Linked DNA regions of Mus musculus: regions 1 and 2 are each reported to be linked to region 3. Evidence: microRNA targets listed by miRTarBase, many of them from high-throughput screens and not tested one by one. Region 3 holds a microRNA gene; each other region holds the end of a gene's coding sequence.
What was found. The annotated mature microRNA mmu-miR-802-5p reads UCAGUAACAAAGAUUCAUCCUU and lies in region 3 at 4,806-4,827, shown strand. An mRNA with a match to its seed (bases 2 to 7 or 8) in the 3' UTR can be bound and repressed. Matches are read on the target gene's strand: a 7mer-m8 pairs with bases 2 to 8, a 7mer-A1 pairs with bases 2 to 7 and ends in A, and an 8mer does both.

Region 1: the mRNA of Tdrd1 is a reported target of mmu-miR-802-5p. Seed matches in the 3' UTR shown: 7mer-m8 at 5,064-5,070.
Region 2: the mRNA of Slco1a4 is a reported target of mmu-miR-802-5p. Seed matches in the 3' UTR shown: 7mer-A1 at 7,996-8,002.

The regions. Positions count from the first base shown.
Region 1 is chr19:56,864,819-56,875,134 of GRCm38, forward strand. Tdrd1 (tudor domain containing 1) reads left to right here. Exons shown (of 26, transcript NM_001002238.2): 23 at 957-1,184; 24 at 1,607-1,653; 25 at 1,732-1,824; 26 at 3,885-5,194. The coding sequence ends at 1,824. Vwa2 (von Willebrand factor A domain containing 2) reads left to right here and starts at 9,598. Exons shown (of 14, transcript NM_172840.2): 1 at 9,598-9,760.
Region 2 is chr6:141,798,824-141,809,139 of GRCm38, forward strand. Slco1a4 (solute carrier organic anion transporter family, member 1a4) reads right to left here. Exons shown (of 16, transcript NM_001355577.1): 16 at 6,617-8,357. The coding sequence ends at 8,138. Among named protein-coding and RNA genes, the nearest start is that of Gm5724, 26 kb to the left of the region's middle.
Region 3 is chr16:93,364,932-93,375,247 of GRCm38, forward strand. Mir802 (microRNA 802) reads left to right here and starts at 4,789; the gene lies at 4,789-4,885.

The sequences.
Region 1 (10,316 bases), not on the chromosome of region 3:
AAGTGGGGGTTATGAACAGTCATGTGGGGCCATGTAGCTAAATTATCCTAAATTATTTGTAGTCAAGTGGGGCTGTAGCTAAATTATCCTTAGCTTGCCTTCCTCTAAATATCTTAGCAAGAGTTTTCAGAGAAATTTTGTCTCCTTTGTACTTTAATTCTTGTGAAAACTGCATTCCATCTGTCTCTGTATTTGGGGGCTTATCTTCAGAATATCAGGGTTTGGAGACTGTCTTTCTCCTCTTGTGCAGCTCTCATGGCAAGTGGCAGGGTGTGAGCCCAAGACCGCCTGCTCTGTCACAGCTCCCTATAGGAACCAGGGGATGTTTCCTGGCCTCATTCCAGCCTCCTCACTCTTCTTCTAAAGCAGCTTGTGCTTACCTGTCCACTGCCTACATGTCCACTGCCGGCCTGCTCACTGCCTACCTGTCCACTGCCTACCCGTCCACTGCTTACCCGTCCAGTTGGAATATGCAAAGAACAGATAAATGAGAATGCTTGATGTGGCCCTGTCCTGCTTTTCTCAGAGATGATGACAGTGACTCTGTAGCATGCTTGGCCTCTGCACTGTCCTTTCCCACCAGAGCCCATAGGCATGAGCGTGTCTGTTCTGTGCCGTAAGCCTCGGTAGTGCATGGTGCCAGCCACGCCAGTCTCCTTAGACAGCGTCCTAAATATCTTCTACAAGAGACATGGGGCTGAGAGCCAGCTTGTGGTTAAGAGCACTGGTGGTTCTTGCAGGACCTGGGTTAACATCCAGTACCACATAGTGACTGGCAACCACCTGTATGTAACTCCAGTTCCAGGGAGGCCAACACCACCTTCTGACTTCTGTGGGCAGGTGGTATACACATATATACGTGCAGGCAGTACACTCATACACACAAAAGTAAATAAAGAAAATAAATCTTAAAAACAGGACACCTGTGAACAAAGCTCAGGGTGTGACTCTTCCAGGGCCGATGGAGCTGAATGGAAGCTGTTCGCAGTTAGTGATGGAGCTGCTGAGAAATGCCATGCTGAACCAGAGTGTGGTTCTCTCTGTGAAAGCCATTTCAAAGAATGTCCACGCAGTGTCAGTTGAAAAATGTTCTGAGAACGGAATGATCAATATAGCTGAGAATCTGGTGATGTGTGGCCTGGCAGAAAACCTCACTTCTAAAAGGAAAAGTGCTTCCACTAAAGGTACTTTCTTAAGCGTAATACACAGCAGAGGTCGTTTTGATTGTCTCTCTCCTCACGGCTTCAGTCCCCACCCTCTCCTCCTCCTCTGCACTCCTGTGGCAATTCAGCCTGACCTGACCCAAGGTCAGGGACACTGGTGCTGTGGGAGTCGAGACTGAGAGCTTTGGAATGGTTGCAACTGTGCCTGTGCCTTTCTTCGGGTTCTCTTTGATCTGAGCAACAGGAGAAGTCTTAGAAGACCTAAGACATCATAGAAGACCTAATCTTTAGATGGAGTGCTGGTCTGAGAGTCCAGGACACACACAGCACATGACTGGGTGGGTGATGTCCTGGGGAGTTGACACTTAGACCCCGACACACAGGTGCACGCGGGCTCCCTCACTGCCATGACCTAGGCCTGTTTTGTTTGTTTTTGCTTCTAGAGATACCACACAGCAGAGACTGCTGTTGCACAGAGTTACAGAAACAGGTAGGTGCAGCTCCTACATGAAGCCACACGCTGCCTCACATTGAGAGAGAAATCATACTGTCTCCTTTGCATCCACAGATTGAGAAACACGAACAGATTCTCCTCTTCCTCTTAAACAATCCAACCAACCAAAGTAAATTCACAGAGATGAAAAAGCTGCTGAGAAGCTAAGTAAGTTTCCCGTTTCCCCTTCTGTGATGCACCCGACTCCAGGTGCTTATGTGAAGCCGTTTCTTACTGTTTGATTTGAAATTGCTCACATCGTCAGTATGTGAAGAGACTTGTAAAGATGGTCATGAGGTGAAGCTTAGCCTCACACTGTGTCCAGACTTGACGTCTTCTCAGGCCTCACTGACTCTGTCTGCTGCAGTAGCTTTAGTCCTGAGTCTGGGCAAGGATAGAAGATCGAGGAAGGTAGGCACTCTGTCACCTGTGACACTGGAGCAGGCTGTGCTGTGCCACTGTTCAGAGAGAGTGTGCTGGGCCCATCCCAGTAGTTCCCAACCGTGTCTTACTGTCAGGATCCCCGCAAGAACAGGGGCCATCAGAAAGTAGTCATGGCCAGCAGCCAACTGGAACTTGTGGACAAAATGAGATTACCCCACTTATTCACCCCTGTGTGTGTGCTGGAGGGGTGGGGTTGGTGCAGTGTCAGCCCAGAGCTGGCTCTTCCATGCTCCTGCAGCAGCTCCTGGGATTCCCTGGGCTGTCGCTCCTCTGGAACAGCAGTGCTGACTGAGTGCGCACCTCTGCTGAGTTTGTCCCTAAGGAAGCTAGCACCTAAGCTGACACCCTGAGCAACAGTTCCTTCCCATTGTCGTGCCTTAGCATCTCTATACTTGATTTCTGTTTTGTGTGCTTGAGCTTAAGATCTTGAATTTAATGAAGATTTTAACTAGACCGACTGAAGAGCCTGCAATGACACAGGCTTCTGGGATTAGCCCAGCTAATTAATCATTTGTACTTTGGTCTATTCATCTGTGTAGTGAACTCTCCTCAGAGAGATACTGAGAGTGCTCATATAATTTAAGATAAGGCTGCCATTTTCAATTGTTTCTAGAAAATTAGAAAGCCTAGAACGGTAAATGTTTGAATTTAAAACATAACACACGCTAGTTTCCCCCACACAGCACTGTGTACGGGGCTGGGCCTCACATTGCACAGTCCTCACAGCATCCTTGAAGCAGAAGTGCAGGGCAAGGTGTGTGCTGTCACAATCCCAGCACTGGGAAGTGGAGACTGTGGCTCAGCAACTGCTGGCCTAACTTGCTCGTCAGTTCCAGGCCATTGAGAGACTCATGTTGCATAGTAAAACGGGAGGTGGGAACAATCTGAGGAAGAATGGCACACACCTGTGGGCAGAGCTGAGTGCACCTTGCTCCCTATCCATATACTACACACATTTGTAGCTCCCTGCCCCCACCCCCACATGTAGTAGAATGACCTTATTGTCTGATGAGGAAGCAGAGGCTCACGGTGTCCATGCAGGCTCTTGGTGTGCACCCCACACCTCACCCCCTCTTGCAGGCTGGAGCTTACAGCTGACAGGGGAGGAGCTGTCCCAGCTTCTGGGTATGCCCTGGGCTACAGCCTCTTTCTCGGTTAGTCTGGACCTGCAGGGCATGGAATGAGGAGATAACATAGGTACTCAGGCATTCTCTTCTCATTTGGGAGGAAAATAAAACTGGATATTTATTCTCACCTTACTTAATCTACTTCCAGATATATGTGTTCCAAATGTTAAGGCTTTTATAACTACTGTGTTGTGTGGTTTTCGTTAGTAGTTATCAGCCAGGTATTAGTCAGCCTGCAGTGCTGTCTTGGGGATTTGAGGCGTGTGAGATGTGGAGTTAAGATAGCTTGGTCTAATAAGACCCTGTCTAAAACCATATGTACATAACAAAGGTGTTGCTGCATTATAAATTTTGTAAATAGAGGTGCTAACATTGTTCTTAAAGGGATGACTAGATAAGTTAAAATGAAACTTGTTTTTATATTTGGAAAGAGCTACAATAGCTGCATTTTATATTTGTAGAGAATATAATTCACTCTGATTAATGCCAGTATCGATAAAAATTAAGCACTGTTATGATGCTGTTTAATTTTTCTCTGCCACGTATAATCTGAATGTGTGTAATTTAGTTTATCTGGCTTGCCTGTACTTAGAACTGAAGTTAAGGGCCATAGTGATTCTGTGTAAACCATAATGATGGCTGGTTTTTCTCTTTCAGAAACATCATCTCTTGGAAATAAACACTGGGAAGAAAGAGACAGCAAACGCCAGACCTGAGAAAGAATTGTGTGTGTGTTTTGTTCACTAGAATTGCTGCTTCCTCCTCTTTCCTTAGTGACTTTTAGCCTCTCCGCTGTGCTTGCTTACTTTGTTCTGTCGGGTTTGCTGCCCTCTCCCCGATTCTTTCCACGAAATACATGAATCTTACAGAAGAGATTCATGTATGAGCTAGGCGCGGTGGTGCACACCTGTAATCCCAGCCATGAGCAGCATGAGGCAAGACCTCAGGCTCAAAGCCAGCAAGGGCCTAGTTAGATGCTTTCTCATCACAAACAAAACCAAAAGGACATCAAGATTCAAAATGTATGAGACGACTAGGAAAGACTATGAGGTACCTTCTGCTAAGAGTGTGTGTGTGTGTGTGTGTGTGTGTGTGTGTATGTGTGTGTGTGTGTGTATGTATTTGCTCTACTGAGTATAGAAGCTCGAGCCTCTCATGTACGAGGCAAGCTCTCCTCTTCCTCTGAGCTACAGTCCCAGCTCTAGCATCTCTTTGTCTTGACAGTGCTGAAGAGGAGGAGGCTAGGTGTTGCATGGATAGGTGTGGTCGGTAGCTGGGTCTTAGCACTGTTGGTACGTTCCAGGCCTTTCTTTGCCAGTGGGACGCTCCCTGTCATCTGCTGCCTCGTCCCGATGCGCTCTCTTTGGTTCCTTGCTTCTGGGTGGCATGTTTTCCTGGGTAACTTGTGGCTCACTCCAAGGATGTGCACTGCTTCTCTCAGCTGTGCTTGGATGGCTTGGCTTTTCATCTTGGATCATAGTGTGTCCACAAGCTCCAGCCTTGACACTAGGAGGACTCCAGAGGGCCTCCTGGGATTTTTTTTCCCACTAGTCTGTAGCCATTCAGACTTATGCTCTAGAAATAATTCACTGTCTTCTCAAACACAAATTCAGTCATCAATTTAAAAATGGAGAGCACATTTGTCATACCTCATGATCAGAGATTGTCCTAACCGTAGCCATGTGCAGCAGAGTGTGCCTTCCTGACAGCCCAGTAGTCTCTCATACTTGTCCCACAGTTTCAGTGCCATGTGGCCCTGTGGTAACCTAATACGACATCATCAACTCAACGTTGATAAGTAAAACATTGACGTGGGTGGGTTTGTTTTGTTTTCCTGTTACTGGCAGTGTGAGTCAGCTCCTCTGTTGAGTCGACCTTCTCATGTAAAAAGTTGCTTGGATGTTGATGTGTCTCAGACAGTTAAGTTTGTCCTGATTCAGGCAATAAAGCCACTTGTTTTCACCTTGCCCTTCTGTGCTTACTGCTGGCCTTTTGGGGACCCCCTTGTCCATCCACAGATGCTATAACACCCACATGGCTACAGGTGGCTGTGGAGCTGTGGCAAGGACAGCCCTTGCACCATGAGAAGCCAGACAGCTCTTGGAAGAAACCAGAATCCCGAGTCACATTTCACTGCTTCAGATCCCACGTGGTCCTAGAAAGGTGACTAGAAGTCATTAGAATTTCCTACTTGGAGGAGCAGCTCCTTTCCACGAGGTAGAATTGTCACCTGAAGCCAGTCTCCCAGGCAGTGCACCACAGTATTGAGTTTTATAGCTCACACATTTTAATATGACAGGTACATGTTTTATTCCACAAATATTTCTTGAACTCCAGCTGGGTTCCTGACGTTGTGATCAATATAAACTTGGATGTGTCTGTCAGCAGATGACTTCCTGGACAGAGGCTTGTAAGTATCAAGGTTTCAGGGAACATCCCTCAGGAACCAAAGGAAGCTAGTCTGCTGTGTGCCTCAGGCTTCAGGTCAACCCAGGGAGGTGGGGCTAAGGAACCAGAATTAAGAGCGAAGTTATCATGGGAACTTAGGGGGCAGAAATGGAGAGAACTGTGCTGTATACACAGACACGGGTCTTTGGGAGTGTGACTTTTAGCTCAATCAAGTAAAGAGTTTCTGTGAAGGCAAAGGTTTGAGTCTGCCACGCTCCCTCAGCACTTACAATGGCCAGCTGTTGGTACCACACTGGCAACACTTGTTGGGTGTTGTCACCTCTGTTATCTGGATCATCTAGCAACCGGTATGTGTTTCAAGTAGAGACGGCTATACATCTTAGAGAGGGCTGGGGGCCTTCCTGGAAGATTCTCACCAGAGGGGTGAGAACTGTCTTTGAGTTTCTAAATCCTGGATGTCGGCACCATTGTTGTGTTTTATAAATAGATACCAGGGATATGTTTGGTGGAGGTACAGTAGGGTATGGGGGGAGAGGTGCCTCTGCAGGCCCATGCTGAGGCATCCCTTCCCCCTGAGGCACCAGCCACATGACGGATAGAGTTTGGAATAGAGTTTAGGGCATGGGGAGGAGAGTTGAGGGGGTGATAGAGACAGAGAAAGGCGGGGGGGGGGGGGAAGAGTAGAGGCCAGCCATTAGCACACATGGAGAGGGGGGAGGGTAAGGGAGCAAGAGAGAGGGAGGGGCAAGCATCCCCTTTAACAGTAAGTCAGGCACACCTGGCTGTTGCCAGGTAACTGTGGGGCAGAGCCTAGACTAAAATGCCAACAACTGTTTGCACCACAAAGTTTTAAAACTTTTAGCTTCACTTGAAGGTGAGGCCCACTGCAGACCAGCTTGCTTTGGAATGTGGGCGATGTTGTCTAAGCCTTTGTTCACTGCCACTGCCCTCAGTGTCACAGGAAGTCCTCACCTTGGCAGGTCTGTGGTGCGCCTAGATTTGCTTTCCTTGTGGAGGTGAAGCATTCGGGTGGTCAGTAATTATGACACCATCCTCCACGAGTCAAGATCTCAAAGGTGAAGCATCTTGTCTGCATTACAGAACCAACAGGCTGCAGAAATGGCCGAGGAACACCACCTTGCTGTCTCCAGAGCCATAGTCATTCCACCACGCTCTTGTCTCAATCGGGTTGAAGCTCTCACCTGGACTTAGAAGTGTTTGTGTGTGTATGTGTGTGCAGCAGAAACACTACAGGGCAGTTTGTGCAAATGCACTTTAAAAGAGCAGTTACTCAGCCGGGCAGTGGTGGCACACACCTTTAATCCCAGCACTCAGAAGGTAGAGACAAGGGAGTCTGAGTTTGAGGACAGCCTAGTCTACAGATGGAGTTCCAGGACACCCAGGGCTTTACAGCGAAACCTTGTCTTGTGAAAAACAAAACCAAAAGCCCGTTACTCCCCATTAGTAACCAAGCATTGGGGCCAAAAAGACAAGGCATCGTCCTGAGCACAGCTGGAGCTTTGGGTCATTCCCTGTAGACTTAACACATGAATCTTCGAAGAGGAAGCACTGTCCAGCAGCTGCGGAGCTTCTGAGACAAGAAGCCTCTGCCACCCCGAGTACCCTCTGATTGTCCCCAGAGCCCCTGGGCAGGACAGGTTTGTGAAAAGTTTGCAGCAACTGTTATTTCTGAAGCAGACGGTACCACTGGCTTCCCTGGAGCGTTAGGAGTGGTAGGACAGCACACAGGCAAGTGCTACATACCCAGACTATGCTGAGACTTTAGTTATGAGGCGAAATGTGAAGTCATTCCAATTAGGTAAAAAATGTTAGGTGTGGTAAGACTCTTGGTTTGCTTCAAAATATTATGGAAATATGTTTTCATTTTATCCCAGATAAAATGGACCTTTGGCTACTTTGTGGGTTCTTCTTTCTTCCACCCTTCTCCCCATTCCTACTCCTGACTTTATTTGGGGATTTTTCCTCTCTCTCCCATCATAGGGTGTTGGAAGGGAGGGGTATGGGGAGAGGGAAGCGTGGAAGAAAGAAGAATCCATAAAATAGCCAAAAGTCTTGCCATAGTAAGCCTAATTAGGCAGAAGGGCAGGGAGATGGTAAGCCACCACTGGAAGGGTAGGAGGCTGTCAAAGGTGCCTTCATAAGGGCTGCTGTCCATAACAGCATGGGCCACTCACCACAGGTACCACTGTTCAGTGTGTACACTGTTGCATTTTGAAGGCTTAGTACAGTATGCATTGATTGCATGTAGAAACACGTGGGGCATGTGGGTTAATTTTAAGATGACTTTGCCTGTTTTTGTCCTTTGTATACCCACTAAGACATTTGAAATTCCACATGTGCCTTTCATTTCTCTAAAATCTGCTGGTATGGAACTGAAGCCCTCTCACCCAGGAGGCAGGCTCCCCCACTGATCCCACACTTGCTGCCCTCAGTGCTACTTGGAAGCAATCCTGGGTTACTTTTTGGTGTTCCAGTTAATGGTATTGGGAGGGAGAACTGAGTGAAGAAAGAAACATATAATAACCTTTCCCCTCTCCAGTGAAGTTTGCAACATCAAAGCTGCCAGGTGCCAATTTCCCCGAAAGCTCTCAGACAGGACGAGTTGGAAACCATCCGAGAACTACAGAATGAAATGCAACAGAGAGATGTTAAATACAAAGAATGTGTAAAAATACAAAATGGAGTATTTACCTGGCAGGTTGGCATTTACAGGAATACTGGGGGAAAGCGCAAAAAATAGGGAACAGATGAGCTTCCTGGAAGACAGTTATGTTAAAAACAACAGACCTTGGTCAGGGAGATAGCCTAGCTGGCAAAGGCACTTACTTGCCCTCAAGATTGCCAATGTGATTTCAATCTTCAAAAACCATGTGGTGGAAGAAAAACAAAATGAACAAAAACCCAACAACAAAAAACAAAACTCCCCCCAGATCCTCCTATGTCTTCACATGTGATGATGCACCTGCACACACAAACACAAGTGTGAAAAATGGAATTCTTGTATATAACTTGTAGTCTAGGAAATTTACTAGTTTCCAAATGTAATTGGGCCGCCCCACCGAGATACCTGATTGGAGTGTTAAACTTAAGGCCTCAGCATTAAGCAGTAGCAAATGGTGTATATAGGTAGAGCAGAGTTACAACGGCCCAAACTGCAGATGTTCAACTCAGGTGTGGATGATCAAGCATCAATGGAAGAAACTAAGGTTTTGAAGGAGGAAATGAAAGCTTTTCCCCAGTGGTCTGCAGCTGAGTACCAGTGGCTTTTCTATTTGCTTTCTCTTGTTTTCTATTTTGTAAACTTTTCCAATGAGCACACAATATGTAGTTTTGATTAAGTATAAAAATGATTTGAGGGTTTATCTGCACGGAGCACCTGCCAGAAGGGACACCGTTGTTTGTTCTGTGACAAATACCTGGCACCCTCTAAGTTAAAAGGCGAATGCTGCCCAATAACCACTCACCTGCAAGAACTAACAGGCCGGTTGGCAAAAAGCAGAAGACAAATGGAAACGATGCCAAAGTCAACATTTCCTCAAGGGTGGAATCGATAAAACCTGCGGAGTAGCCAACACTCTCTGTGACCACAGCCGCACCGCTTGCAGCGGCCAGGTCGCTCGGAAGTGTTGATGATGCTGCGGTCCGTGGGTCGTGGGTCGCGGGTCGCCGGGCAGGGCGAGGGACGAGGCGGGCGCGGTTCCCTGGAGCAATAGTTGCGCCGCCCTCACGCCGAACGTCCGGATCCTCACAGGCTGCATCCGAGCGGCCCGTCCCGCCTCTGCTGGGAGAGACCAACAGGTGCCCCACGTGGCTGCGAGCCGCAGCGCCCCCCGAACGGAGCCCAGCCTACGCCGCGGGCAGAGCAGCTGTGCGCTCCGCGGGTGGGAGCCCACGCCTTCCAACAACTGGGGCGGGGCGGGGCGGAGGACTGGGCGCACCCTTGCCAGTGAGCGAGCGAGCGTGTGGAACCCCAGGCCTGAGCCCGCGCCCCTACCTGCCCAGCCAAGCCGAGTGCCGCCGGCTTTGTTCGCTTTGTCCTCGCGCACCTAAGCGGCCGGCCTGGAAGAACGCCATCCCGGAGAGCGCACGCGGCGTCGCACCAGGTAAGGGGTGCTGGCCTGGGAGGTGGGGGCCGGGGGACAGGCTGCGGATGGAGAAACGCGAGCGGCCTGGCGCCGTAGTGGGGACCCCTTCCCTGGCCACTGCAGAAGGGGCTGGAGTTTTGATAAAAAGCTTTGGGAACTTGCTCATCACTCCGTATTATGAGCACTCAGGTGCTACAGCATTTCAACCGGGTTTCCTAGACAGACAGCCTCGTCCTTTCAAATAAGTCACTTCCTGAAGAACTCGAGGGAAGTTCGCTGCTCTGAGAGCGAGACAGGGGTTCTGCTTTTCGCAGAACGCACGCCTGGGAGAGACATGCTTGCCTTCGGGCTCCCCGCAGCAAACATCACCTGGCTCGGCCCTGTTCTTTGCCCTTTTCCAGCTTGCCCAGGACCAGACGTCAGTGGCGGGCAGAGATAAAGTGGGAGGGGCTCAGCACATTGTGAATCCGTGATTTAAAAGTCTGAGCTCTAGACAGAGGCAAAGGAGCGGATGATGCTCTGCTGTGTTTGCTTACAGCGTTGCCTGCCGGCATCAGCCTGGACTTCTCAGTAA
Region 2 (10,316 bases), not on the chromosome of region 3:
ATTCTTAATCATTATCCTATAAGAATTCCTAAAATTATACCAGTGATTATTAAGCTATTTTACAGTGGTACTGCTATTAGGTCCTTTTGTGATAGTCAAAATTGCAAGGATAACTCAGTCAGTCTCCCATGTGTCACCAGTTTGTTGCTCTTAGATAGTTCTCATACTCAGGGCACATTCCAAGAGGTTATAAACAATTAACCAAAGATTTTAAAAGGGAACTATTTATTACAGAAGATAAAATATTGACTGGGTTTATCTATACAAAACTTGACTAATAACTTAGTTATTGTTTTTAACCTTCTACAAACCTGTGGAGCTGTGACAGGTGGTGGATGTTTAGACAGATAATTACTCCTAATGGATATGCATGTAAACATTCTGTGTTGTAAACTTCTATTTTATTTCTATTTCAATTTATGATTGGATTTTTTATGTAAACTTGTGATATTACATCTATTTCAATTCATGATTGGATTTTTTATGTGAACTTGTGATGAACTTTTTAACACTGTGATGAACTTTTTAACACATGATCATGTATTGTGAAAGATGGTTAAGTGCTGAGGAAAAAGAGAAGAGTCAGAGGAACTGAGCTGATGCGAACTTTTTTAGGCAGAAACTTTTAGACAGAACTGAACTAAAAAAAAAAAAGCCTTAGAAGTATTGGCATAGCATTGGAAGAAAAGGCATTGAGAGTAAGAGCATCACTGTGACACCAGAGCAGGAGGAGACAGCAAGATTAGAAGGAGAATGCAGAATAGAATAACTTAGAAATTATGGGTAACAAAAAACTAAGAAAGCAATGTGCTGAATGCAGAAAAAAATCAAACAAACCAAAAAAACAAAAAAAAACAAAAAAAAAAACAAAGAACTGCAGAGAGAAGAAGGAGCAGGCAGGCTTCTCCTTACCACAGGACAGAGCGGGTCCTTTCTTAATAACAAATCAGGATTAATCTTATTAAATGGAACAAAGATTTTTTTCTTACAAGCTTGGGTTAATTCATTCAGCATAAAAAGGGTAGAAGTTTTTTCTTCCTCTATGCAATAAAGATTGGAGCTCATTTTTCATCCAGAATGAGTGAGTTCTTTCTGCACTGGCACTTGGACTTTTGCTCTATATGCATTTGTAAGTATGGATGTGTACATGTAAGTATGTAACTGTGAGAATTATGCATGTGGTGTGTAAGTATGTAATTGTGAGAAGGCATTGAAGTTGGGCCTAATCAATTGAGTGGAAATGTATAAATGTGCTTAAGTGAATCTGTATTTGAAGTTATGTGAGTTTATGCATATTTGATTATGTAAAAGTTTTTTCTTCTGCAAGAATTAGTCTCTTTTCCTGGTTCAATAGAAGTTTATTGCTCCAAACTTTACTTTAGACAGACAAGCAAGAGACACCTGGACAAAATGGAAACCATTCTATCAATCGATCCTTTACTTAATCTCCTGCTGTTTTACTTAATCTACTGCAGTTTCTGGCCTCAGAGGAACAGAGAAGGCAGATCAGCTATGTAGCAAAGAAACTTAGATAAGGAAACTTTTTGTTATTTTACAGCAACCCTAAATACCTTGTAAGACAAGTCTTATCTTCCACTATATTCTTCCCCCTCTTCTACCTCAAGAAGAACCAACAAGAAAGAAGACCCCAGTGGGGATGGCCCCTGGCACCTGTACTCCATAAAATGGAAAAGTCTTAATGAAACTGATGATCTTCTAGACAAATACCACTTGCAAAATTTAAATCAAGATCAGACAAACTATTTAGATAGGTCAAGAACCCATAAAGAAATATAGGCAGCCATTAAAAGTATCACAATAAAAAAATAACAAATACAAAAACAAAACAAACAAACTAAAGAAAACACCCTCCAAAGTTTAAAGCTGGACTTCAACAACAGAAACTCTAGAAAGCCTACACACTCATGGAAACTGAAAATGTTCTCTCTACTCAATGATCTCTGGGTCACAGAAAAAAAACTGAAATTAAAGACTTTCGAGAATTCAATGACAATGAAGGCACAACATACCCAAATTTATGGAACACAATGAAAGCAGTGCTAAAGGAAAGCTCATAGTACTAAGTAAATATCCATAAAGATATTAGGATGTTCTCATACCAACAATTTAAATGTACCAATGAAAGCTCCAGAAGAAAAGAAGCAAAAACACAGAAGAGGAGTAGAAGGCAGGAAATAATCAAAACTCAAGACTGAAATGGATCAGTTAGAAACAAAGAAAATGATGGAAGTAATCATTCAAATGAAGAGCTGGTGCTTTGATAAAATCAACGTGATAGACAAACCCTTAGCCAAACTACCAAAATGTAGAAGAAACAGTGTCCAAATAAACAAAATCAGAAGGGAAAAGGGAGCCATAACAACAGACAGCTAGGAAATTCAAATAATCATTAGGTCTTACTTCAAAATCATGTACCCCCCCAACCGGAAAATCTTTTTTTTTCCCCCAAGTTTCTTTCTTTTTTTTTTTTAATTACATATTTTCCTCAATTACATTTCCAATGCTATCCCAAAAGTGCCCCCCCCACTCCCCTCCCTCCCCATTCCCATTTTTTGGCCCTGGCGTTCCCCTGTACTGGGGCATATAAAGTTTGCCTGACCAATGGGCCTCTCTTTCCAGTGATGGCCAACTAGGCCATCTTTTGATACATATGCAGCTAGAGTCAAGAGCTCTGGGGTACTGGCTAGTTCATAATGTTGTTCCACCGATAGGGTTGCAGATCTCTTTAGCTCCTTGGATACTTTCTCTAGCTCCTCCATTGGGGGCCCTGTGATCCATCCAATAGTTGACTGTGAGCATCCACTTCTGTGTTTGCTAGGCCCCGGCCTAGTCTCACAAGAGACAGCTATATCATGGTATATATAGCATATAGCAACAAAGGCTTGCTAGTGTATGCAATGGTACTGGAAAATCTTAATGAAATGGATAGTTTTCTAGAGAGATACCACTTACCAAAGCTAAATCAAGATCTAATAAACTATTTAAACATCTCTGCAATAGCAATAAGTAACTACATGGTTTTGGTATAGTAACAGACAGGTTGAACAATGGAATTGAATCAAAGACATAGAAATAAACCCAAACATCTATGAACACTTGATTTCTGAAAAGAAGGTAAAACCAAACAATGGAAAGAAGAAAGCATCTTATATGGTGGTAGTCCATCTGGATGTAAGCATGTAGAAGAAAGCAAGGAAATCCATATCTGTCACCCTGCAGAAATCTTGTGTCAAAGTGGACCAAAAACTCCAACATAAAACTGGATATACTAAATCTAATAGATTATATGGTGGGGAATAGACTTGAACTCATTGGTACAAGAGAAAACTTCCTGAACAGAATACTAACAGCCTAGGCTTTAAGACCAATAATTGATTAATGGAACGTCACGAAACCCCAAAGCTTCTATAAGGCAAAAGACACTATCAATAGGACAAAATAGGAGCCTACAAGTTGGGAAATGATCTTTACCAATGCTACATACAACAGAGGGCTAGTATAAAAAATTTGTAAAGAACTCAAGAAATTAGAATTCAACAATCCAAATAACCCAATTTTTAAAATGGCATACAGAACTAAACAGAGAATTCTCAACAGAAGAATCTTGGATGGCCAAGAAGCATGTAAAGAAATGTTCAGTATCCTTACTCACCAGGAAAATTTTTTAAAAAAGACCCTGATAGTCCTTCTTATATGCTACGCTCTCCGGTCGAGTCAACTGGACAAGCCGAAAGGCTTAAAAGTCACTCATGAGGCAAAAGAGTTTCAAGGAAGCTCTCCTCCTGGAGTCTAGTGTTCTCTACCCATACATTAATTTTTCATTCCCGAGTTCCATTACCACACTAGTCTAGAGTATGGATCCATGTGCTCTCTTTCAGTATTTTCCTATTCTAAATGCTCTGACATTGCTAAAGCCTTCCACCAGTGTTCCAACAGTCCAAGGGCATCCTTGACCAAGATCAAGGGTTTAGAATTCAGCAAGATTGTAAAAGCTAAGTCACTCCCTTAACACAGGAATTTACCATCACTTAGGAAGAAGGAAGTTTCAGACCAAAGGAGAAACCAGAATAGATACTATAGCAGAGTTACACCCATACACACGTATTTACAATGGCCTAAGGGGAAGGTGGACTATACAAGAGACTAAAATAGGAACTATGGCAAGGACGCGAAGCCCTTGACCCTGGCTTCTAAGATTAGTGAATTTTAGGTGGAGCCCTTGTTGATCCCAGCTGTTATCAATGTATTCTATCCTGGGTGGTTCCCGTTAGACCTTTTGTGTTTGCATTCCTCTGTTTTATGTAAGATTCCGATTACCTCAATTGTACCTTGCAATATGTCACCCAACTTCCTTATTGTCCTCTGCATAAAAAGTCTGATGTTCGAGTTGTAAAATTACACTCAGATTCCACATGAACTCTCCTGTGTGTGTGTCTGTTTGTCGCTCATCCACGCTTTGCCCACCCGCATCGAGAGACCCCGTTCCACGCAGACACAGGGACCCAGAAGGTCTGCGGCACTTATACACATAAGACTAACTAAGATCAAAATTTTAAGTGAAAGCACATGCTGGTGAGGATACAAAACGTGGAAATGCACTCCCATTGCTGGTGGGAGTGCAAACTCGTACAGTGTGGAAATCAATTTGGCATTTTCTCAGAAAAATGGGAATATCTCTACTTCATGACCCAGTTATACTACTTTTGGGCATATACCCCAAAAATATTCCATTATACCACAGGAGCACTTGCTCAACTGTGTTCATAGCAGCTTTATGCATGAAAACCAGAATCTGGAAACAATCTAGATGTCCTTCAACTGAAGAAATGGTAAAGAAAATGTAGTACATCTATACAAATGGTTTACCATGCAGCAATTAAAAACAAAGGCATCATGAATTTTGCAGGCAAATGGGTAGAATTTCATCCTGATCAGAGTAATCCAAAGCTAGAAACACACATATGGTATGCACTTACTTATAAGTGGGCCTTAGCTATCAAATACAATACAACCTGTTACAATCCACAGACCCAAAGAAACTGTGTACTATGGAGGTCCCAAGGGAGGATATATGAATCTTACTCAGAAGGGAGAGCTAAATAGTAATGAGATGTAGAGAGAGAGAGATGGAACTTGGGTAGCAGGGGAGGTGAAGAAGGGAATGGGGAAGGCCATCAGGTATGGGGAGGAGAGTGGCTGGGATTGAGAATGGAAATGGGGGTGAGCATCTCTGGTGACTAGCTAGAAGCCTGGGATGGGAGAGGATATGGAGAGTCTACAGCATGAATCTAGCTTGGAATCCTCCTACCAGAGGTGAATATAGAGGCTGTAATGGCTACCTCCTGTAACCAGGCATGATTTCCAGAGGAGGGCGGGGGAGGGGACATCAATCCATTCTCAAAACCCTCAACCCAAAATTTGTCTTGCCTATAAATGTGCAGACATAAAGATGGAATAGATACAGAGAGACCAACCTACCAGTGATTTGCTCAACGAGAGACCCATTCCATGTGAAAGAGCCAATTCCTGACACTGTTAATGATCCTCTGCTATGCATATCTGTCACCGGAGAGGCTTTATCTAGCAGCATATGGATGCAGATGCAGAGACACACAGACAAACATCAGATGGAGCCAAAGGAATCTTGTGGAAGAATAGGGAATAGAAGTGAGGAGCAGTTAAGCACTCTACAAGAAGCCCCACAGAGTCAAATAACATGGGCCACCTAGGTTACTCTAGGGGTGGTTCTGATGCTAAGGTCCTGCTTCTTAAAAAACTGGTTCTTGACTTGTCAATAAAGAAGTCATGGGCCAATTGCTGGGCAAAAGGGATAGGTGAGAGTTCTGGGTCTCTGTGGGTAAGAGAGGGATGCAAGGAGAGGTGAGTTCACCATGCTTCAGAGAGAGAAAAGCCAAACAGCCATTTAAGATCTCAGGCAAAGTGGAGGCCTGTGGCTGCTCCTATAGGCAGGAGGTAGGAAATATTTTGCTGGGATTAGATGTAACTGAACAACTAAAATTGAGGGCAAGTGGGAAGGTATGGAGCTAAGAATATTGATAAGGGCACACTTTTTCAGACAGTAGATAGTAGCACCCAGCAATTGTGGCAAAAGGCAAGTTGAAAATGAACAACTGTGTGTCTGTGTCTTTTATCCCTGTATTCAAGGGAATCTGGGTATAGCCTGTTTCCAGAGTTTAGGCCTATCCCAGGAGCTTGGGTGGGATAGTGAAAGCTGCATGTAACAAGTTGCCTGCAGGGAACATACAGGAGCTGGACCTAGACCCCTACACATTTGTAGCAAATGTGCAGTTTAGTGTTTAGTGTTATTGAAAGGTGGTAGAAGCATTAAAAAAATATGGGGCCTATAGGGGGAATTTAGGTCCATGACAATAAGCCCTTGAAAGAGATACTCGTCCCCTGGCAACCCCCAACACCTTTCCCTCTGTATACGTCTATGTATATATCTTGAGCCATAGTTCTGAAACAATAGAAAAGCTTGTTTTTCCTTTAAAAAAAATCTGTGTTTTATCAAACACAAAATAAGATGATTTCTGTATCAGTTACTTTTCACTGCTGCAATAAAATACCACAAATAACACATATGAATAGGCATTTATTTTGACTTATGAATCCAGAGGGACTGAAGTCCCTCATGGCAAGGAGGTATGACAGAAAGCACCAGGCATTGTGACTGAAGCAGAAAGCTGAGATTTCACATCATTACCCAAAACACAAAGCAGAAACTATACTGGAAGTAGGGTGAAGCTTTGAACCCTCCTACATATTAAAGATGCGTGTCCAATCTTCCCTAAGCAGAGTTATTACTAGAAACCACATGTCCAAATGTCTGTGCGTAAGAGGGATATTTCTCATTCAAACAACCACAACTAGTTTTCTAATGTGTACTTTCAAGTTTATGAATTCCAGTTTTATAGCAAAAGTCAGTATTACAACTTTCAAATTTTTTCATTTATTAATTGATTTTTGGTGGGGCATGCACAATTAAAATAAAAAGGCATAGGGCAACTTGCAAGAGTTTGTTCTTTTCTCCTGCCATGTTGATCCCAGGGATCACAACAACCTTGTCAGGCTGAGGGGCAAACAGTTCTTTCCATTGAACCTTCTAGCTGGTCCCTCTTGAAAGCTTTTACTCTACGGTTATTATTAATGTTAATAGTCATGTGCTCTATGGCTCGTTAATAGAATGAACACTGAGCCGTCAAAGTTCTATGAATATGAGAATTAGTCTTCTCAGAATATCTGATACTACATCTAGACAAGTGATTTTTATTACTTTATCAGTTTACTCTACCTTGTGGTTGAACTCAGGGCCTCACATGTATTAGGCAATCACATATCCACCGAGATACAGCCCATCTCGACAAGGAGCCTTTAAAAGGACTAGTTTTCTCCCATTCTTGATTTTAAGGAAGAGTTTCATGACCAGCTGTGAATTGCTAGGGAAAAAAGTTCCAATCATTTTTGCTACATGATTTTTAACAACCTGATTAAAGTTTTCAATGATGCAAAAGAAATGACCAACTGTGTGACAGGAGTAATGAAAGAAGGGACTGAAAACAGGAGATGGCCACTGTGGAGAGTCTAACCTTGGAAGTCTTGACTAGAGTAAAGCAGAGAGAGTTAGCACTCCTAAGTACATAACAACAGATGTAGAGATCTTTCACACACAGAGGATAAAACAAATTATTTCAGTGTGGCTTAACAAAGTTGCCTATTTTGAGCTCTAAATACCTCCAGCATCAAAATATAAATGAAAAACATTTAAATAGTCTTTCTGCAATAGAAAAGTTTCAAGCTTATTTGAAGATATGTGGGAAACATCCATTTCCCTTGAGTTAAAAGAGAACATACTTTTTGAAAATGAAGGCAGCTTTAATGTTAAGGGTGGGGGTTTGCTACAGAAGTTTTCCCTGGGAAAATCTTAAGTGCTACACCAACCTTCTGGAAATGCTATCAGTAAATATTTTTTATCATGAGTAAAGTAATTTTGAAGGCCTTAAGAATAAGATAAGAGTTCCGATTGTACTTCTCATGATTCAAAACTAGTGACATGTGCGTTCTGGTTCTGGCCTTGCACTGGCCAGTAGAAACCTCATCACAGCTTAGTTTTCCGTTCTCCATCATTCTGCATCGTAGGACTTCTGTGCACATTTGTGCACTTGCTTTCCTTCGCAGTGAGCTTCATTTCTGCAGGATCTGTGTCTGAAGAGTCGATGTCCCCAGGGAATTGGAATTTCCTCATAAGGATTAGGATGAAGAGTGCAGGGAGAAAGCTTGCTCCTCTTAGAGCAGCAGGCAACCCCAGGTAAATGCGCCTATTGAAAAGAACTAATCTGTATTACATCTCAATGTGTTAAGGGAAAGTCAATTTTGTATATTCTTACAGATCATCATTTATTCTTCAAAGAGAAATATTAGGGGATTATTTTCCCATATTCTTTATATGATATATTTTCCCATATACTTTATATAAAGTATACATATACTTTGCTGAGTTATTAGTTGACATGTTGAAAACATTTCCTTTTTAATTCTTTCTTTTATTTTTACATGTATGTAGTTCCTGTTGCTGCTTAAGATTTTATTTATTTTATGTATATGAGTACACTGTCACTGTGTTCAGACACACCAGAAGAGGGCATCAGATACCATTATGGTTGGTTGTGAGCCACAATGTGGTTGCTGGGAATTGAACTCATGACTTCTGAAAGAGCAGCCAGTGCTTTCAACTCCTGAGCCATCTCTCCAGCCTGAAAACATTTCTATCATAGAATTTTAAATGTATTTTCTTTTTTTGGGTAATGGCTGGCATTGTTGTCAACTTGACTGGATTTAAGAACATTATAGAAATTCATCTCTCAGTGTGTCTACAAGAATATTTTCAGAAAGTTTTAGCTGACAATGAATTTCTACCATGAATGTGAGCACCATGCTCAGACCTTCTACAACTTGAGGCTTCCTGGGAGTGGCCAGCCTCCTCCCACTCCACCACCATGCTGCCTCTGTCATTATTGCCTGTTCTCCTATATACTGACTGAATAAAATCCTATGTCAGGTTAAGGGAATGCTCCTGTTTTATTTGCTTAAATTTTGATCACACACATGCATAAAATATTGCAGAGTCACTTTTCAAGTTTTCTTTTCAGCATTTGTATACTGTGTTAAAACAATAGGCAATTTTGCTATTGAAATCCTTGGATGTCTAAAATTAGTCATGTTGGTCACTTTTTACATATTAGTAAATTCAATTTGTTAATTTTCATGCTAAGTTTTGGATATATAGTGGTCAATTTACGTTATAATATTATTATTTTTATCTATGTGAATGTGTTGGGTCACAGTGTAGGTAATTAATTAATGAGTCCTGGATATCTGTGAACTTGGAGTAAAGGAAGATGGAGTAAAATTCTGATTTCCCTAATTTGGGTCATGGGAAATAAATTTATGCCCTACTCAGGAGCAATACGTGCTCTTAACACCTGCGTCATCTCTTTAGCCTCACATTCTTTTCATTTGCTGATCTGGTTTAGTTAAAGCATAAAGACTTCATAAGCTTCCAGAAATAGATTAGCTAATTTTCCCTTTGACACTCCTTAGAATAACTTGTATAATTATTTGTGTACAGCTATAAGCACATTTTCTTTGTAAATTGGATAAAATATACCTTAAAGTTTCCATACTTATGTTTGGGGTAATAGACATATTTGACATATGCATATTTATTCCAAATTATAAAATATTCCAAAAATCACTCTACTGAGTCATTATTGTGCTCATGAGGCAACTAACCACTAAGTGAAGTAGGGGGTTACAGGTTTCTGGAAATCAAACTGGCAGTCAAATGTAGACAACAGGTCCCTTCTGGCTACAGAACTCAGCATGATTGTTTTTAACTGAAAAGGTGCTACAAATATTTGAGGTTTCTCATCTAGTCAGGCTGCAAGCAGGAGAGAGCTCTGAAGTATCCAAGAAGTAGAATGTCAGATACCATGCTGCGCAAATATGTCAGGACTCTGTCATTCCAATCGCTACATAAGGGAGGAGTCCCTTCTTTCTGTCCATAGGTATTAGTTGGTAGCAGCTGAGAGATTTGTTCCCTCTTACAGCATCATTGTCCCATGTCTCTGTATCTTGCTGTCATTTTTTTAAATCTCTGGTGTTCTGCCATGTTAGTTCACCTCAAGATGTAGATCTCCTCTGCTACTCTAGAGCCTGTATTCAGAGACCCTGATTTCACTCGTGTGTGTGTGTGTGTGTGTAGTACTTTTGAAATA
Region 3 (10,316 bases):
CGGGGAACAAGATAGTGTTTAAGAGTTCTTGACCTTTTCCTCCCCGCTCCTGTCTTCTTCCTTTTAAAATACCAAACAATAATTATTTTTAAAGTCACCTATAAACTATTCCAAAGTTCACTGATCATACTTACCCTGAGAGCAATCATGGTCTCTTAAGCTAAACATGAGCAGAAGAAAACAAACTGGGGAGGGTGACTTCCCAAGACCCTGTAGCCACTGAGTAAATTTGGGGCATGGATGGAACCCCCTCCCCACACACAGCAGACCTCCAGAATCCTCCTTCCACCATCAGCCTTCCATAGAGCAACCAGAGAGATCTCCACTCAACCCCCATCAGTAACAGCTCCATCTGATGTCCCCACAGCCCAAAGCAACTCTTGCCTACAGCCCTGTGTAAGTGTATACAGAGGCAGGAAATTTAAATCCTCTCTCACCTCCTGACTCTTCGAAAATGTTATCTCACGGGTCTAAACATGTGAGTGTGAAATGCAGATACATCCTTAGGGGCCAGGTTTCCAGGAATCTCTGTATCATCAGCCACACTGAGGAGCCCAAGCAGTGAGCTTGGCAGATGGCTTCATAGTCCCCCAACTCCAGTCTGCCTGGCCTTAACCTTGGCAGTGTCCCTCCTTACTCATTGTGACTTCAGCTTCCTCAGTACTTGAGATGTGAAGGAGTTTGTCTTATTTTACCTTATTACCCCTGAACCCTATAAGTCTACTGGGGATAGTGGTTCCCACCTCTCTCAAATGTGTGCCCTCTGACCTCATTCCTCTCTGACCCAACCCAGGGACCTCACAACTGTCTACTATACAATACCTAGAATACCTCTTGTGAGGGTGTGTCTGGTTCTGAGCTCTAACTCCTGAGTCTTAAGCAGCAACATTCACCAGAACGGGGAAGGAGGCAACAGGAGATGCTCAGGGGCCTTTATAAATGGAAACAAACTCCTCTGACATTTTACAGAGAATGACTCTCCCTAAATACAGGCCAAGGTGAGACATAAAACTGAGCTACCTGTAGGCCAAACTCCATAGGCTATGTCATCAGCAGACATCAATAAAAGATGTCAGAAATAAAAACAAAACCTTTCTTCTAAGGAAATAGCAATCAGGTGTCAACCCCCAAGAATGATCTTTTTTTTTTTTTTTCATCTTTTTCTGTTTGATGCTAAGATTCAGACCCAGGGCCTCAGTCACACTAGGCACACATTCTGCCACCAAGCAATGCCATTACCCAGGAGTGCACTTTTTGTAAACTTTTTTTTTTTTTGGCATCCATTAATCACAGCTTCCTACAACACTTCAGGGACAAAGGGGAAGAAACCCTTGCTTTGCCACCATCTGCCTTCCAGAGCTGCTGAGGCAGAATCAGGGAGGGCTGGGGACCCGCTTAGAGAGAAGGGCAGAACCTGAGTCACGTAGTCATGGCCTCCGGGCTCAGGCTCCATTTATAACCTCTTCCTTAACTTTGTTTATCTCTGTGGGAACATGCTGAGGGATCACACTTTCCAGAAGTTGGGGCCCCGTGATCATTACTTGTCATCAGAGGAAATGGGATTAGGTGGTTTAATTCCTCTTCTCAGAAAGTCCCTGCTGTAACAAATGGCTCCTCAATGACCTTCGTCCCTGGGTGGGGCTGCTGGGCTTCACCAGTCCCTCTTGGCTTTGGTGCCATAAGGACAACTCACAAAGGTTGTAGCCTTGAGACTTACCTCCACCACAAACAGAAAGGGGACTGGAGAGGCTCACCTGCCTCAGCCTTTACGTCACAGGGAGGGTACGTCTGTCAGGAAATGATAAAAACTTCAGAGGACTCTGCTTGTACTTGGTTGGATGTACCCAAGGACCATACGCAATGGAGTGGCTTATACTGTGGGCCAAACCCTCTGTGAGACTGGCAGCAGCTCCAGAAGCCAAGGGTGAAGCCTGGAACATGTTCCTCCTCCTATCCCTCAATGGAACCAATGCTGCTGAAATCCTGACCTTAGACTCATGTGCACATGTGTACATGCACCGGCAGGCATGCACACACACACACACACACACACACACACACACACACACACACAGAGGCTACAATCAAACTCCCTACAGAGCTGTGTTTGGAATGCTGCAGTGGATGTTTGGCAGTGACAGGCATTTGGTGCTTCTGGGTCCTATGAGTGAGGCAGGCATGTGATGGGGGAATTCAGCATCTACCCTCCCCACCAGGTTCGCCCTGGTACTGCCACCCTCAGCCACAGCCTCTGACAAGTCCTATACTGCTGTGGGTCGGGAGCTGACTGGAAACTGGGGGAAACTAAGGGTGGGTCTGGGAGGAGCTGAGAGAGGGGAGTGACTATGACCAAGATACATTGTATAAGATTCCGAAACAATTAATACAAATGTTTAAAATGGTCTTTTTAAAAGGTTGAAGAGAGCCTGAAGGAGAGGCCAGGAGCAGATCACCCATGGGCAGAGGTCCATAGCTGACCCCTCCCTCACAGACCAAAAGTAACCAAATCTGATTCTGGCCTCCAGAACCGTGAAGAAATGCCTGCAGTTTAGTCAGCTCCGTCCATGGTCCTTGGGTCCGTCCAGCAAAGTATACACTGGGGCCTCTGAAGTTATTAAGACACATTAAAAGAATGCCTTTGTAGACTTGGTTCTGGAGGCTTGGTCAGTAAAGTCCTCGCCCAGCAAGCATGAGCGACTGCATTCCATGCTCAGAACCCATGTCAAAACCCTGGGTGCGGTGGGGTACACATGCTTGTATCCCAGTACTGGGAAGGCAGAGACGGCCAATGATGGACTCTGTCTTTATAAAACCAGCTACAAGGTTCATGAGGAATAGCTGAGATTCACCACTGCTGCACACACACATATGAACATGCACATACCATACACATGTGCACACACACCACGCCAGACACACACATGTGCATACACACACTAGTTCCAGTGATAATCATGAAGCAGAATCCATATGAGCCCTTTCAGACAGAGGTTAATACAGTGAAAGAGGTACAGAGATACTTGTAAAAGGAAAATTTTAAAGGCAACATCCACATGAGTCAGTCTATGAATTATTTGTGACTTTTGACTCTCCGGCCACATGACAGTAGAGGAGAAATAAGCAATCCTTTAAAAAGCCAAAATGTCATTACTTAAGCCAAGCCCTGCCTGAACTGTTCTAATTGTATCTAAATTGTTTCGTAGGTTCCTCTCTCGATAGTGTGATGTGGCAGGTGCCCCGGGCCTTTAGCTTGCTAATCAATTATTAATCCGGGAGTTAATAATTCATGTTAATTGGTGCTATAAGCACTTTCTCTGGCAAATGTGAGCAAAGGTCACAACTTTTAACAGCAAAGGGGAAACATTCTCCAAGTTTCTTTTTCCATGGCCTATCATGGAAATACCAAGATACGGAAGACAAAATTTAACCAGAACTGGGAAAGCAAGATAGCTCCACAGCTGAAAGATTAGACATCTCTCTGGGGGACCAGCTCTGTTCCACAGCCTGCTGGAAGGAGGAGAGGTCTCCAGGGGACAAGGGACAGGACTTCAGCCCCACAGGAGCGCTCCACTCCGAGGATGCACTCTCTAGGCAGGTTTGTGGACCTTTGTCAACAAGATGAGTAATATAAGTCCTGCTAGTCAGAAAAGCTTTTCTTCAGAAAACAAAAGGAAGCATTGGAGAGGCTAACTCTCTTGTGGGTTTTTCATAGGATGCCTTTTCGAAATTGTAAGACTAGAGGACACAGTCCATCCTAGGATAGCCACAGAAGGAGTTCCTAGCAAAACCTCACTACCGTTGAGCACTTTGACTTTAATGAATGTATGTACACTCTGAGCTCTATTTCCAGGAAGAAGACGGGGTGACTCCTCATTGCCACCGAAGGCAAACAAAAAATAGCTTCTTACTTCATCCGCCCTGGACTACCTTCCCAGCCCACTCCTTTGCCCTGGGCCTACAAGGCAGCCACCTAGGCCTGGGCGCTGCGTGTGTTTGATCCCCTTTGAGCCTTGATAATTATTTGAAAGGTTTGTGTCAAATCCCAGCCTGATGTGATGAAATAACTCGTTCCCATTTGGAGAATAAAACTATTCCTGGTAGCTTTTTACAGCCTCGATTAAAAGATAGAAGTCAGCTATGCCGAGAATGATTGCTGCAGACTTGGGATAAGGCTTAAATGGAAACCACAGGTTCAAGGGTGCCAGGGCCGGGAGGCCAAGCTCAGACTCTTGTTTTTTCTAAGGGGAATGTCGGTAACATATGCTTTCCATTGCTCCACTTTTGACCATTTACATACTGGGGGGCTGTGTGGTTGGCAGCAGGTCCTATTTTTAGGAGTCCTTGAAAACCTTCCCTTTTTAACAGTTCTCATTCTGGCACATACCTGTGTTTTAAGCAAAAGGAAAACCCAAATCCAAGATAGGAAAAGAGAAACATGTGTACAGACACGGGGGATTTTTGCAGCCCTGGAGTCACACAATAAGAAAGCAATCATTCAGCTACGACTTTAAAGATGGATCGTTGCCCGAATTTTCCGACTATTTTCCTTCTAAATGACTGTTTCTTTACAGATCTAAACTAATGTAAAGAGACAGGTTGTCCCCGTGCCAGGAGCGAACAAGCAAAGTAGGACAGAGGCTGTTTTCTAGGGAAGGAATGTGGCAAGATAATGCCTGCTCTGTCTCCCGCAGCCGCTAGCTCAGGCAGAGACGGAAGAGGATACTGCCTGCCCACGGCCTGGTTGTGAGCACAGGCTCCCCACCTGACTCTACATAACCTACCGACTGCGGTCCTATTATTTGCAATCAGTAACAAAGATTCATCCTTGTGTCAATCATACAACACGGAGAGTCTTTGTCACTCAGTGTAATTAATAGCCTTCACCTCGAAAGGGAAGATGAGAGGACGCTGTTCGCACGTGCCTGGGGTGTCCTCGGAGGGCGTTTCTCGTGGATAAGCGCTGCCTTCTGACATAGTAAGCCAATGGAACTCCAGCTGCAAGGGGGAGGTGGCAGGGGCGGTGGAGGTGAGGTAAGCTGAGTGTGTTTGGGGAGGCTGGGCAGGGAGCCCAGTCAGCAAGTGCTCATTGAGGCCCTGAGCTCTGTCCCTGGAACCCACATTAAAAGACATACATGTGATCCAAGCACTGGAGAGAGAGGGGACAGATCCCTGGGGGCTGACTGACCAGCCTTGCTAAATCAGCAAGCTCTAGACCAGCGAAGACCCCATCTCAAAGGCAGTGGACAGAGCCTGAGGAATAATACCCAAGGTTGACCTCTAACCTCCACATGCACAAATGCATGTGTGCACACACGTACGCTTGCCTGTCCACACACTAACATGCACATATGAGTACTCATGCACTGACACTGTAGCCTCTACAAGGGCCTACTGCAAACCACGCTACCTATTCAGTCAGGAACCTGTCAGAGAAAGGTAATAGGCTCAGACTTCAAAAAGACAGCACTGAACACAGGCTTGAAGGTCCGAGGAGTGGTGTCCCGTATACAGTTGTTGTGCCAGTCAAGAATTAAGACAATCCCCCACAGACATGTCCAAGGCCAGTCTGGGCTGAGCGCTCCCTCACTGAGATTTCCTTCTGAGGCAGGCAACCGTAGCCTGGGACAACTTTACAATTTATTCCAACTTGGGCTCTGTGCTTCGTGACAAATATACCATTTTATTAAAGAGGATTCATTGTGTACTTATTTGCAAGTATGACTTTAACTCCTCATCCCGGCACACCATTTTTAGCTGACAGAGTCCTAAGTGTTTAAGAGAGTGAGTGTCCGCATCCCTCCACCCCAAGCTCTTTCTGACGCGTACTGTTGCTTACTATCCGAGTGTGCATACTATCCGAGTCTCTGTGTATATATAAACATGTTCATTTGTGTGTGCATGCACACAGGTGTGCAGGTGTGTGTACACATGGGAGCACACGTGTGTGGAGGCCAGTGCTGGTGTGGGAGTCTCCTTTGACCTCTCTTTACCTTATTCTTCAAGGCAGGGTCTCTCCATTGACCACAGGGCTAATCAGTAGGGCTATCCAGCTTGCTCCAAGGACTCTGTCTTTTCTTTCTGGGAACTAGAATTATAGGGGGGGGTTATCATGGCATGGACAAGTTCAGGGGATCTGCACTAAAGCCTGCATGCTTGAGTGGCAAGCACAGTTTCCACTTAACCTATTTCTCCAGACCACACCAATGTTTAATCTTGAGGACAATGTAGATTACTGTGACTGGGAATAGACGCAAGCACACACACACACACACACACACACACACACCCCACACATGCATGCGTGCATGCATGCACACACATGCACACACGTACATACAAATGCATGCACACACACGTGAGTACTTGAGGCCGAGTTCTTTGCCTCTTCTCCGCAGGGAACCAGGTAAATCTGAGACCCATCTTAGGTCGTTCACATCATCGCAGTCAGAGCAAATGCTGCTGAAGAGACCGCATGCAGTCACCTGGGCTGCCTCACCATTCCAAATACGTCCTCTTCAAGGCCATGCTTGAACTGTACCACATGGCACTCTCTCTCTAAATCCACTGAGAATAATGCCTTCGGCCAGTGTTCCATGGTTGTTTAAAACCTTTCACTACCTCTCTGTTGCGTATACTATACACCTGTGCTGAACGCTAGGCTGGACAGATGGATCTGGGACACCCCAGAGTCTCCATTCCCAGTGGCCTAGTTCTCCTGCTCTCTGTCTGAATACAAACACTGGAGGCTGGTGCCGTTTTGTGGTAGATTCTATACAACAAACAGAGTTATTAGGACAACAGCAGAAGCCAAATCACATCCCTAAAGTAGCTTGTGAGCTTGGCCAAGGTCTGGCTTTGCACTCATCGGTCAACATGGGCGCTGTGTGGTGACGGGTAACTGCACTGTCAGCCAGACAGGATTTAGAATCACCACAAAACACATCCCTGGCTGTGTCTATAATGTGTTTCCTGAATGCTTTGCATGAACAGGGAAGGTCCACCCCAATGGGAGCCAGGGTCGCAGGCTGTGTGAAAAGGAGAGGGTGAGCTGAGAGCCAGACTTCAGTCCCCTCTGCATCCTGACGCCAGGTGCACTGTGAGCAGCGACCTGGTGTGCCTGCTCCATGGCTTCCCCACTGTCACAGTCTGCACCTCAGACCCTGAGCAGGAGAAACCCTTCCAGGCCGAAGTTGCCTTAGTCGGTCAGGTGTTTTCTCATAGCAGCAGGAAAGTGACCATCACCGCTGGACCACCAAACCCAGCAGCCTTTGCTCTGTGTTCTAACAGGAAGCTCATTCCGGCCTCTCAGCCACAACACCTTTGCAGTTACTCATCTGGAAACCATGGATTCACAAATCCCAGGCGTTACCACGGCGGCGACATCTTTCCGTCTCACGCCTTAGTCAGCTCTAGCTGTATTACAAAACACTATGGGTTTAAACCACAGATGTTTGCTTTCTTGAAGCTCTGCGGGCTGTCACCCAGGGTCACGATCCAGCAGGGTTTCTCCTGCTGTGTGAAGGGTCAGTTTCTTGCTGTGTCCTTTCGGGTCCTTTCTTCAGGACACACCCACGTAGAGACTGTCCTTCCTGTAAAGACACATCTCTCTAGGACTCATTAAGCCCTTACCACTCACTAAGCCAATAAAGCAATGAAAGCCCCATCCATAGGCCCTGCCCTGCGGGACCTGGGGCTTTGGGAGAAATTCAACTTAGTCCACGCCAACCCATATCTCAGTCCCCTCAGAGAATTAACCCACTCTCTACACAGCACGATGACTTTCATGGACTTGACTGCTCTACAAGTTAGCTTGCCAGGCATTTAGCGTAGGTATTTTTATTCATGATACATTTAATATAATGGTACAGTGTGCATGCTATTGCTGTTTGTGAAGGAAAAACATAATCACACTGTATGTGTTTTAGGCTGAAGAATATGAAATTAGTCCTACATAATCAATTTTTACCTAAAATGTCAACTTTGTAAGAATACACCCACGTATCGGTGATCACTGTGGATCAACTGCGCAAATAATTTGAAATTTAACTTGCGTTTACTGCCATGCGTACATTTTGTTAATGGGAAAGGTCACAGCAGCTGGCGTGATGACCTAAACACGAGATGATGCTCTATGAAACTGAGGAGTTTCGATGCTACCACCAACCTGAGTCACAGCAGGAAGACAAACGGATGCTCTGATAAAGGCCACTGCATCTGCCTCTAGAGTGACCGCACCTTTTCCTCTTTCGTGAATTATTAAGACAGGGAAAAAAGGAGTTGCTGTTCTAGATGCAGGTGGATGGATGCTGTCAGGCATCGTGTTTCTTCCTTGACTTTGCTTGTCATTAGCTCGGAGTTCCGCCTGACGTGTTTACAGAGGCCCAGCAAGGTTTTAGAGCTGATGAGACATTCTTAGTTAGATGGTGCCTGCACCTCCAGTGGCTCCTAGACCCACTTAAAGTCTTTAACCTCACTTATATTGTGCATTAAGGAAAATATGAACCTGCATTCCAGGTACCACTTCCAAGCTGGCTGACGAAATCGTCTGAGAAAACTACAGAAGCTGCAAAGGAAGGACAGCTTGGTGGCTATGGTCAGCTGAGTCTGTGCCAGGCCAGGGGCTGGTGAAGGGGTGTCTGTCCAGCAGACGATTTGGTGAGCCCTAGAATAGAGGCACCTTAGGAAACAGCCACATTGGCAAACACCCAAACTGCCAGTCTCAGGAGCCGGATAGACCCGTAAACGGTAAAGGACTAACCAGGAGAAGCTGTGTGCTCTGAGACTATGAGTTCATGAACTAGAAGGCCAACACTCGGCCACACCAGACCCACGGGTTAAGTTCTGGGGCTAAGGTACTTGAATTCTTCTCACTTTAAGGAGCCTGGGTATGCTCTGCCATAGCTTCCTCTGCCCAGCATGGCCTCCTCCCCACCCAAATCCACCAGCCAATTTCACAGACTCTCTTGTCACCAAGACCTGGATGCCATCTGTTTCCTGCTAGGACGTGAGTTTTCAGGAGTCTCTGATTTCTCAGTCTCCACCTGGATCACGGTTCAAGCCCAGCTCTTTGTCCTGCTGTTTCTCTCTGTCCTAATTCTCAGAAGTGTCATCCCTGCAGGGGTGTGTGACCACGGACTCCACTCATTCAGAAGAGGAAAGCAAACAGCTGGCTTCCCACAGGGAAGTGTGTGTGTGTGTGTGTGTGTGTGTGTGTGTGTGTGTGTATGCGCGTGCGTGTGTGCGTGCATGAGCATAAATATGTTCCTTATGATATTTCTACTCATTTTTAAACTACCTAAAATGGATCCCAGAAACCCTGAATGGTCATGAAAGAACTACACACACACACACTCACACATACACACCACACATGCACACCCCCCATACACATACCCCCCACACACACACACATACATACCACACACATACATACCATACACACCACACCACCCACACATACCACACCATACACATACCACACATATACACACACTCAAACACACACCATATACACACACACACACCACACATACCACAAACATACCACACATACACACATCACACACACACTACATACTCACATACCACACATACACACACACACTCACACACATACACACTCCACACACATACCACACACACCACACACATATACACACCACATATATACACGCACCACACACACACAACATGCACACATCACACACACACACACACTCATGGCAAAGGCAGTACACATGGACCCTCCTATGACCACATATCTCTCCATTCACTCTATTTCCCAGACTCCACTGACATTAGCGAGCCTCATCTTCACCGTGGGATTTGAAGGAGCCATGTTACCTCTGAAAGACCGTGTCTCCCTCTTGCTGCCCCCTCACACACACACACACCTTTTCTGTAACTGAATTGGTAAGAACAGGCAGCATCCGGTCACTCCTACACACATCAGCTGCTGGATCCGTGCCCAGCAGTCTGAATCTACAGCCTGGAACCACTCCCCACCCTGTCCTGTTTCCCCCCAGCACCCTTCTAGGACCTGAACACCTCCCTTTAAGGGTTTGTTAAGATGACTCCCACTTCCTTAGCATGGATGTCACCACTGACGCAATGCAGTTTTAGCTCAGACTCTATAGTGCAGTTTGCTAAAGCAAACCCCTACAGAGGTGTCAAAGCCACCCTACAGCCACTGCTACATCAAAATGGCTGTGCCCTCCCAGGGTTTGTTCTTTTGGTTAACAACACTCCTCCCAAATGAGCTGGGAAGATTATTTCTTCAAATATTTCTTCACAACTTAGACAATCTCTCTCCTGTA